3 linked regions of the Canis lupus familiaris genome follow. The protein of the gene in region 1 interacts with the protein of each later gene in a pairwise test. Links are inferred from orthologs where the notes say so. Each region holds a gene or a part of one and is shown on either strand. Other genes may lie near its edges.

Evidence for each region.
Region 2: the proteins of SH3BP5 (region 1) and SOS1 interact in a two-hybrid assay, tested with the Homo sapiens proteins (2 studies listed by BioGRID and IntAct). The link is inferred for Canis lupus familiaris from reciprocal best matches to the Homo sapiens genes SH3BP5 and SOS1.
Region 3: the proteins of SH3BP5 (region 1) and TNKS interact in a two-hybrid assay, tested with the Homo sapiens proteins (2 studies listed by BioGRID and IntAct). The link is inferred for Canis lupus familiaris from reciprocal best matches to the Homo sapiens genes SH3BP5 and TNKS.

What each region holds. Positions count from the first base shown.
Region 1 is NC_049244.1:27,844,813-27,848,152, reverse strand, and holds the end of SH3BP5 (SH3 domain-binding protein 5), read right to left. Parts: intron 2,826-3,340; coding exon 2,565-2,825; intron 2,075-2,564; coding exon 1,866-2,074; 3' UTR 612-1,865; downstream 1-611. UniProt on the Homo sapiens protein: Functions as a guanine nucleotide exchange factor (GEF) with specificity for RAB11A and RAB25. Inhibits the auto- and transphosphorylation activity of BTK. Plays a negative regulatory role in BTK-related cytoplasmic signaling in B-cells.
Region 2 is NC_049238.1:31,204,782-31,208,435, forward strand, and holds part of SOS1 (son of sevenless homolog 1), read right to left. Parts: intron 3,290-3,654; coding exon 2,634-3,289; intron 1-2,633.
Region 3 is NC_049237.1:35,854,911-35,858,664, forward strand, and holds the start of TNKS (poly [ADP-ribose] polymerase tankyrase-1), read right to left. Parts: upstream 2,186-3,754; 5' UTR 2,152-2,185; coding exon 1,479-2,151; intron 1-1,478.

The sequences.
Region 1 (3,340 bases):
TGGCTGGACCAAGATAGGAAAAAAAATGTCAACTAGATGCACATTAGAATCAGCTGGGGAAGCTTAAAAAGTTCAGTATGTGGGGATCCCTGGGTGGCTCAGCGGTTTAGCACCTGCCTTTGGCCCAGGGCACGATCCTAGAGTCCCGGGATCGAGTCCCATGTCGGGCTCCCGGCATGGAGCCTGCTTCTCCCTCCTCCTGTGTCTCTGCCTCTGTATCTATCATAAATAAATAAAATCTTAAAAAAAAAAAAAAGTTCAGTATGCAAGTGTACCCCAAATTAATTATACTGGGCTCTAGAGTTATAATAGCAGAGAGCAACAGTATTCTTTAAGCTTCCCCAGAGATTCCAGTGCAGCAGAGGTTGGGAAGCATTCCTACATAATCACCTTGTCTTCATTTTCCTAATGCTGTGTCTCCTTACTGCCCAGCTTTAGTAGCAGCAGCAGAATTCTAACTCAAACCTTGGTAACCGGGGCTTAAATTAGTAGGATGCAGGACCTTAAGTGGAAACTAAGACAGTTGACCACTGCATTCCATGTTCTTCCTTGTGGCAAGAAGGTTGCCTAGAATGGAAGATTGAGGGTTTATTTGAAGACACAGAAAGGTAAACATTTTCTTAGGCCATTTTTATTACACTCAAGGAATTAAGACAAGTACAAAATAACCTTGTAATTAGGATACTGTATCAGTCGTTAAAAAAGGAGAAGACACTACAGTATGGAGAGATTTACAAATGACTAAAATATACAAGTTGTATCAGAATTAACAGACAACTTGAAATGGGGTTGCTTTTCTTTTAGAAATGCTATTTTTTTAAACAAAAGGACAAATAAAATACAGTGCTCTAAATATATGTAACCATGAAAACATGAAAGAAAAGCAATCTTAACACATACTATTAGCATAACAGACTTCATTGCTTCTATTTAACAGCCTGTGCCAACACATGCCTACTCCCTTTCCTATCTTTAAAGAACAGTTCCCTCTAAGAAATACTAATGCAGCATTACCCTTAAATAATTTTTTAAAGTCACAACCTACAGAGAAATTGACACCTTGTCAAATCTAGATATAAACAATGGCAACCATTCTTTACATGCACTTCTCTTAAGAGTTAAGTCCCTTGGCTGGTAGGATAAGGTTTATGCTATAGACTCTTCTCCCCCACAGCCACAAATCACCACCCATGGTATGTCCCTGCTACCCTCCATCCCTCCCATCCCCACGTTGGCATTCACCTCCCCCCCCCCCCAAAAAAAAAGTGCAGTTCATGGTAACCTTTATAGAAAATGGTTCTAATGGGTATCCCAGTCTATACGCTTTTTTTAAAAAGCCCCTTCTGAATACCAGAGGTGATGAAAATGAATCGTGTTCTTGGAATTTTTGTAAGCCTTCGCTGGGTCAAAAAGGGGTGTTCTGATTAAGTTTCATTCTTGTGTGCGTTCATTTAGATCCCCTGGGATATAAAGGAGAGAACATCTCCATTTTCCCAATCTGAGGATAAGAGAAGGGAAAGAAGCAAGCTGTCGACCCCGGTTTGGCTCAGCTTCCCAGCCCCTTTCCTGGCTCGGGTTCTTTCACAGGAACTAGTTATTGCTTCCATAACACTGTTACAGGTAATATTCCACAGAGGCTGTGACCCTGGTCACAGTCCACTGCAACAACGCCTCCACTCTGAAAAACCAGCCCAAGAGCTCTTCCCAGAAGGAAACTCTTCAGCCCTCAAGGTCACAACTTCATTAGTGCAGTTTACAGTAAACGCTTAAGATTTGGCATATATTAAATGATTATTGGCACAATGTTCTCCATACAGCTTCGTGTATAAATACTGCTATGCACTTGGGCCAGGGCTTCAGATGGATCAGCCAATCTGCACCATTTTTATGTCAGCAATAATCCCATCTCTTCCTTTTGAGCACTGGAGAGAGAGCTGCTTCATCCTGTTCTCCAAGGCCTGGCCCTCACGGGAGGTGTTGCTTTGGCTCTTGCCACTGCCACTGCTGTTGCTGAGACCTCGATTGTTGTTGGCTTTGTCGCTTGTTTTATTCTCTGCTCCTTCTGCCCGGTCTCCTAGAGAGATGTAAAGGAGATTAAGTACATACTGACAATTCCAAGAACCACCTGAGCCCAAGGCAACTCAGCCCTCCAGAATCTCCCAGGGTTGTCCAACTGCGCCTGTCACAGAGCATTCTCCATCACATGACTACACATTGCTTTTACTGGTCAAGGCATTTTATATATCCCTTATCTTTAGAGAGGATTGGTCAGACCCTAACAGCCAGGAAACAAACCTCTAGCACATGCTTGTCAAGAGGGCTGTTAGCGAAGACAGAACCCAAGCTGCACTTTGAGGAAGTGTTCGGAAGCAGAGCCAAGCAGAGCCCTCCCAAAACAGCAGCCAGCATCTCTGTGGTCAACACAATGCACATTCGCAGGGGTCCAGGGATGCAGCACGGGAGTGCCGAGACCTGGCAAAGGTCTAGAGCAGCACGGAAAGCTGACTCCCGAGGCAGCGAGGCATCTGGCAAAGGCACTACTGGCTGAGAGGGCGGTCACTCACCTCGTTCTACCTCACATTCGGGGGATGAGGCTCCACTGCATTCACTGCGAGGGCCCAATACCGGGAACATCATCCCAAACTCTGACAGAGACACAGGGCTGGGCAGATCCAAGCTGCCAGGCCTCACGACTGCAGGGAACTGGTCAGGCATCTCAGATGGGCTTGTTGGCCCTGAACTAAAGCTGGATACAGACTGGGTTTCCGAGTCATCTTCAGACACGAAGTTGCTGCAGTTATCATCTTCAAAGGCCTCGGAGGCCACTAGGAGGAGAGACAATACCAGTCGTAGGTTCTGACGGAGAACAACCTAGTTCCTGAAACCCCTCTAGATGTGTGCACTTCTGGCTGGCAGCTGGATGCGGCCTGGGGACCACAGAATCCTTGCCACCGTGGGCACCTAAGAAAAGGACCCTGACCCTCCCAAGCCTGCATGGCCAGACTGCCAACTTCAAAGGGAAGCAGTTGGACCCCATGGATATCCCGTGTCCTTAAAATAACCTCCTAACTTCTACCCTAGAAGTCAGTGTCAACTACTTCAATACACTACCTAAAGTTGGAGGATGAATCTGCCCCAGAACAGGGGCTTTTCTCCGCCCCAGGTCCCCAGGTAGATCCACATGTACAGAAAGAGAGTGGCCCTTTGTGATGCACACTAAACAAAGCCAGTCAGCCGTAACAGCTGCTTCCATGCAGCAGAAGCAGGAGCTACAAAAAGAAATGGTCCTGTGTGGAGTAACTGTTGGGATTCTGTGATCTTCCAGGCACCTTCTGATCAC
Region 2 (3,654 bases), on another chromosome or scaffold:
CCTGTAGATCTAGAAATTTCAGTGTTTTATACTAACTAGAAGTAAAACCATTGAAAATACTACTCTATTCAAAAGCTAAAGGTTAATATAAAGAAGAGCCACAATCAAAAATAACTCACAAGACACTACAGCAAAAGTACTATGTCTACAGACTTGGCTAGCATTGTGTACATTAAGGAGAAAAAATAATCAAGACTACAGAAAAACTCTCAGCTATGCTTGTTCAAGTTTTGTTTTAAAGTGTTTTCAATTCAAAAAATAAATAAAAAGCAGAGTTTCCAGAAAATATTTAATTGTAGTTCTGCAACTGTTTACTAATAAGTTAGTTCTGTGAAATGCAGTTTTTAAAAAAAACTTTATCAACAATCAAGTTTTACAGAAACAATTATATTAAAAAATTTGGAATCTGAAAATGTTTTCCAATTTAAATGCCACTATGGTGACATAATAAGTCTTCTTTAGCACTTTCTACTTAACATTGCTCTACAGGAAAAAAAAAACAGTAAAACTTTTGTCTTATGTAGATAAAAATCTAAGGATTAATTTAATACAGTCTAAGAACTCAAAGCAAAGGTATTTAAAATAAAAAACAGTTTAGGATGTTCATGCTAATGAAATCAGTGAATCATCTAAGACTGAGAATAATGTGGCAAGAAGAACAATTTGAACTTGTGTAACAACCTTAAAAATTCTTAAAAATCAAAGAAAGAAGTATTCTGCAACCACAAGTTTCGAGTAATTTAATGAAACATTTTTGTAGTTGATTTTGATCTTAAAGAGTACACAGAAACTGATGAAGATCACAAAATAGGTTAGTCATATTAATTACTGAAAATTATACCTCTCAAAAAGTTTTATATAACATAAAAAAAGATGCTAGAGTAATCTGTTTCTTTTTTATGTAAAATCTTAGGCAGCTTATTTAACTTTCCTGTGCTTTTTTTCATTTTTGAGTCAGTAAAATGAAAACACTGATAGCAGAAGTTTCTAGGTGAAAAATCAGTAGTAAAATTGGAATCCCAGAGTAGGTTTCTTGCATGATCTTCAACGTGTTTCAGCTACTGCCTGCTACTACCAAATGGAATCTGTTTAGAGAATCCAAACTGCTTTTAATAACCTATGGAAAACACTAATATTTTACTATGGAAAAGGCTAGCTAGCAAAAGAACTACCAATTGGAGGCCAAATAAAAATTAAAACCAAAACAAAACTGGCTTATTTATCCCAGAGACATGTGGAGATAATGAAACATGATATTAACGAAAGTGTTTTGATATCACTGATAAAAATATTCTTTTTTTTTTTTTTGATAAAAATATTCTAACTTGATTTTACTTTTTTTGCAAAGAGGCCCTGATAGTTTCCAGGCCATTTAAGTAGTTCTGACTGGACATTTAATAAATCAAACAGATTAATATTATCAAATGCTATTCATCTTTATTACAATGGATCAGTTAATGGGTAATCTTTAAAAGTTTAACTGGTGCCAGAACAGTTTCCAGAGAGAACTGAGAACCCATTTAGAGGACTTTAAAAAATGAAAAAACAAAACAAACCAAAAGACCCCCACCTCCCTTAGAAATACACATCTCTTAGAAATAAGAATATATTTAAGCAAGAAGTATAGGGATGGAGGTTAACATTCACATTCAACTACTTCAGAAGAGCATTTATGTTATAAGATATACGTTTGAGTTTATAGATCTTTGTAATAAAAACATTCTTTGAAATTTTACATTTATATTTACAAAGAGCTTTTGCATATAGTCGTTGATCTGTTCTTTCCAATAACATTCTAAGGTTGCTGTTGGGATGTTGATTTTTGGGATGAAAACTGAGGTCTGGGACCTTAGGGAACTGTGACAGAGTGAGGGTGTAAATCCAGATTTGGTGCTCTTTCCACTATACCATAGGCTACAGCACTGTACAATTACCAAGCTTTCTATCGTGTAGGAAAGTTGAAGGTTGAGGAACATTGGATTATCATGGGTTACTTTACTAGAAGAAATAGAATTACTTTAAAAAAAAAAAATCATGTTTGTTCCTAAACTCTCCCAACATTACATTTGATTTGGCTTCCACCAATCTTCCTAGGTAGTTTGGATGCATTTGTCTCTTAAAAACTGCCCTGCTAAGGTAATACTGTTTTCTTAAATGTGATCAATTGTAAAACAGAAAAAAAATATTGAAAACTTTAATGAAAGTTTTAGGAATGGAAATTAAGAAAAAGCAATGCGCATATTCCAGCACAGTTCTGGTAATGAATGTATACTAAAATTTTTACTGACTTTAAGATCTCAGTAATGGAAAGAGAAGAAAGAAAGAAAAAAAAAGGTAAAGGTTTTTAGACCCTAATGATGATTTATCTTGTTTCTGCCACCAATTGGGTAAATTTAGCCAAGTGATTTTATTTTCTTACTTGTAATTCTGGTTGTAAAGTTAAAAATAATATTTAAATGTGGCAGAAAAGGTACAAATGGCAGTATTTTTAGGCAAAGGAAAATGAACTCGGAATAATGCAGAGATCTTTTGTTGTTAGTTTGCTTTCTATTTTAGGCACAATGACCTGTGCAGCAAAGAAAATCAGTTGGAAGCAGGAAAATAAAAGTGACAGGCAACTTTATATTTCTTACCTGCGTACATATGGTACGTGAGCCTCTCTATAAGTTTAATAACAGTTCCTGCTTTGATAATTGGAATTCCAGCCTTGGGCTGCATGTTTTCTTCAAATATTATATTCTCTTCAGAGTCAGGCTCTGCAAATCTATAAACATCGGCACTAGGGAGCCTCATCTGCTCCTCCTTCTCTTCCTGTAGCATCGTCACATCAAGCATCCTTTCCAGTGTACTCCGGTACTGTAAAGATATCAATGCTGCCATCCAATTGTTTTTCTCTTCAGCTGACTTGGCAGAAAATATAACACTATTTTCATCTTTTAAAATTATTTCAAAAGCATGCTTGTACTCACTGGTGTCATCTTTGTCATTAATTTGTACCTTTCTCATGAAAAACTTTTCTTTAAGACGATATTCTGCATTGCTAGCACCAGGAAGTCTTGGCTGCCCATGATTTGATTTACAGCAAATCATTAAGCCATCAAAGAGAAATATGTGTCTCTCATGTTTGGCTCCTACACGTGTAAGAGTTCCTTCCATTATAAATTCATTGCAACATTGTCCAATGTCTTTTCCCTCCCAACCATCAATATTCTTTTGAATCTCGTTCATTTTCTTGATTGCTAGTTGTTTCCCCTTCATTTGCTGACTATAAAACCGACATGCAGATTCACTGGGATAAAGGAAAAAAACATCATTAGTACACAGATGACAGACAATCTAGAATTCATAAAATAAAGGACAATATAAAAGTACATTTTAAAAAGTTGCACGGAGAAGGCTTTCATTAATTTTCCAAATATATTAGTGTTATAAAACTGCACCATTTTAGGAACTAAAGCAACACAGTAGAGACTTTTTTTAGTGCTCTAAAAAGAACAATGAGTAATGACAAAATTCTACTCTATAAATTTAGCTATGGAATGATTATTTCTACCTTGACTTCTAAATATTTAGAATGACAAATATTAAAAAGTAGCCCAATATAGTGAAAAAAATCGTTTAAAAGACTTTAAAAAAATTATTTAGAAGTGTTTA
Region 3 (3,754 bases), on another chromosome or scaffold:
TTTTGTCACCTGTAAAATGAGGGTAATATTATCTTTCAAGTTGGGGGGAAAAACAAACAATACCTTAATAAGTTCTTACTATATATTTTACCATAAATAGAACAAATTAAAAGAGTGGTAGGTATGAGCAACAGCAAGAAACGTAACAGAAGGTATCTTCAGCGTGTTATCTTTGATGTTTGTGTGTGGGCCTGGTGCTTTTTCATTTTGTCTTTCTATCCTATGTGAACTGTATCATGTATATATACATACATTTTTAATGTAATGTTTATAATGTATGTAACATTACCTTCATCTTTTGGAATATAATAGTAGATATCTGGGCAGTGAGATTACAGTCCTTTTTTGAATACTTCTTTGTATTTTATAAAAACATTTTATATGGCTTTAAAAGACAAGGGTCAACTACTTGACTTAAAAAAAAAAAAAAAAGACAAAAAGTGTGTGGTCCACGATTTAGGAACTAGCGTTTTTTTTGGGGGGGGGAGAACCAATGTGCCAGGTGCTTCTCACTAAATCCTCACACAAACCTAGATATCATTTTGTCACTGAAAAAACTGAGGCAAGGGGATCCCTGGGTGGCTCAGTGGTTTAGCGCCTGCCTTTGGCCCAGGGCTGATCCTGGAGTCCCAGCATGGAGCCTGCTTCTCCCTCTGTCTGTGTCTCTGCCTCTCTCTGTGTCTCTCATGAATAAATAAATAAAATCTTAAAAAAAAAAAAAAAAAGAAGGACACTTAAAAAAAAAAAAAAGAAAACTGAGGCAATCAAGATAAGGTAAACTGTCAGGCAACTAACAAATAGGAGTGTCCAGGGCTTCAAAGCCTTTATTTCTTCCACCATCACATAACGCATCCAAATATTCCTCTCCGGTTGTTTCATACAGGCACATTTTAAATCTACCCAATTAGACTGTAAACTCCTTGAGGAAGAGAAAAAGTGTCACAGATTTCATTCATGTCTTCCATGGGCTTCGGAAAAGTAGGATAGATCCTTCAACACTTGTTGAGGTACATCAAACTTCTTTTGGTCTAGACTGTTCTCATGGGACACATACCCTTGTATATGTTGTAAAAAAAAAATAAATAAATAATAAATAAAAATAAAAATAAACGAAATAAACTAAGGAAACAAATGGCAAAACTCTTAAGACTGCCCAAATCTAACTTTATTCCTTCACACTGGGAACTGAGGAAAGTTCAAGCACACCCATACCCGGAGACTACCGCTAAGGGGGTTTGGAGACGAGTGCAAGTACCACGCGGTAGGCGAACGCTCCAAAAAGAACGGATTCACACCTTCCCCCTACCACGCCCCCGTCCTCCAGGCACTAACCTAAAGAAAGGAACCCCGAGCCCTCCCGCCAGGCGTTGGAAGAGCCACAGCCACGCCCCCGTCCCCTTCCATCGCCGCTGGCTTTCCGTCCCTACCCGGACCCCCATTCCCAAGACCGAACCCCTGAAGAAACAAAAGTCTCTGACCTGCAGCGAAGTGCAGGGGAGAAGACTTCCGGCCGGCCATGTCCTTAGCATTCACGTTTGCCGCGTCCACCAGCCTCTTGACCCGGGACACGTCCCCATTGCGACAGGCCTCCAACAGTTCCCGTAGGGCCCCGCTCACTGCTGGGACCCCTGGCCCAGGCCCCGCTGCCCCAGGCCCCAGTGTTGCTGTGGTGCTAACTCCTGCCGCCTCGGGGCTCTCCGCCAAGCTCGATCCGGGGGAGGATGGAGAGGAAGATGAGGAAGAAGTCGGGGAAGAAGAGGACGACGGTGAATTGTTACTGCCACCGCCGGCTGGGTTGGGAGCGACCCCCACGGCAGATGAAGCGGACACCGCCGGGGCCACGGGAGCGGCGGCGACGGTACAGATTGTGCTGGTGGTACTGCAACAGCTGGTACTGTCAACCGGCTCCGGGGATCGAGGCCTGTCGGGCGGATCCCGACTGCCATCCCCCTCCGGCAGCGCTAGGCCGTGCCGCGGGGAGGCGAAGGGGGCCAGGCCGCCCGCCGTTGGGGAGGCTGGGGTGGTCCCCGGGGCCAGGCCGGGGCTGAGTGGGGGGGGAGGTGGTGGCGGCGGCGCCGAAGCCCCTGGGGCGGGCTGGAGCTGTTGTTGATGATGGTGGTGATGATGCTGAGAGCGACGCGACGCCGCCATCTTCGGACTCCCCCAGCACTGTCACTGCGGCAACGGCCCCACCGCCCGCCCTCACTTCCGACCGCTAGGCCAATTAGCAGCCAGCGCACAGGAAATGATGCTTGGCGGAGTGGGCGGGGCCTAGGGGAAGGAGGGAAGTATTGGGAGCTGGGAGAGCAGCCACGGAAGGGGGCGTGGCTTGGCGGCTGGGGGGCGGGCTTTGTGACGCCTTGGCGGGCCGGCGGCGGCGATTTGAAAGTTGGAACTGACCACTCCCTGGATGGGCCGCTTTTCCTCCTTTCTCGCTCTCACCCGGCTTCCGTGGTTCAGATTGCCAGGATTGGAATTCAAGCTCTCTGATTTCCTAGCTGTGCCAATTTGGGCAAACTGTTGAAACACTCTGCGTCTCACCTTCTCCTCTGCAAAACAGCGAACAGATCAATAATCGTTAACTATTAAAATTATAATTTTTCCGGGATCCCTGGGTGACGCAGCGGTTTGGCGCCTGCCTTTGGCCTGGAGACCCGGGATCGAATCCCACGTCGGGCTCCCGGTGCATGGAGCCTGCTTCTCCCTCTGCCTGTGTCTCTGCCTCTCTCTCTCTCTCTGTGTGACTATGATAAATAAATAAAAAATTTTAAAAAACATTAAAAATAAATAAATAAATAAAAATAAAAAATTATAATTTTTCCTATTTTTATCTCTGTACTTTTATTTCTCACCTTAAGTTTGACTCAAATAATTATGAATATGTTCCTTTTGAATTCTTTTCAGCTGGACTTCTCCAATGCTCCTACCTCAATTCTCTCTCTCTCCCAAAATAAGATAAAAACCTCACTACTCTCCATCACTTACCTTCAGTTGCCATTCTTCAGCAACTACTTTTTCTCTCTTTCCTCTGCCTGTCTCTAATGCCATCAAAAAAAAAAAAAAAAGATTTCTCAGTGCATGGGATAATCTCTGTGATCTCCATTCCCTCCTATTTTTTTTTTTAGATTTTATTTATTTATTCATTAACACACACACCCACACACACACAAGCAGAGGGAGAAGCAGGCTCCATGTAGGGAGCCTGATGAGGGATTCAATCCCAGGACTCCAGGATCAAGTCCTGGGTCAAAGGCAGGCGCTAAACCGCTGAGCCACCCAGGGATCCCTGGACTCCTATTTAATAGTAAACTAGTCATTGTGGAAGTTTAGACAAACAGCATTATTCCGATAGAGGGCTTATAGATGGACACCGTCTTAAGAAAGAACAAGGTTTACGTGGGTCAAGTAGAAATTTGTCTCTGCAGAATATTAAACCGGGTGATAAATCGTTCTTTTAGAAATTCATTTTAATATAATTTTACTGTGATGTTAATATTCTCAGCTAAATAAATAGGTAGGTTTATTTAATAAGACTACTATCTACATAAAACAAGGTCAGAAACATAATATTGAGAGACATTTGTTATCTGAGGTTATAGATTATAACTGAACAGTATTCATCTGTTTCATAAATTTGTGCCTATTGTTCACAAATACGTCGCCAGATAGGAAAACTCCATCAAAACAAGTAAAATCTGTCATAATGCACATTCTCCTGGTTTTGAATCTTAAACTAATGCGCAACAGAGGGTAG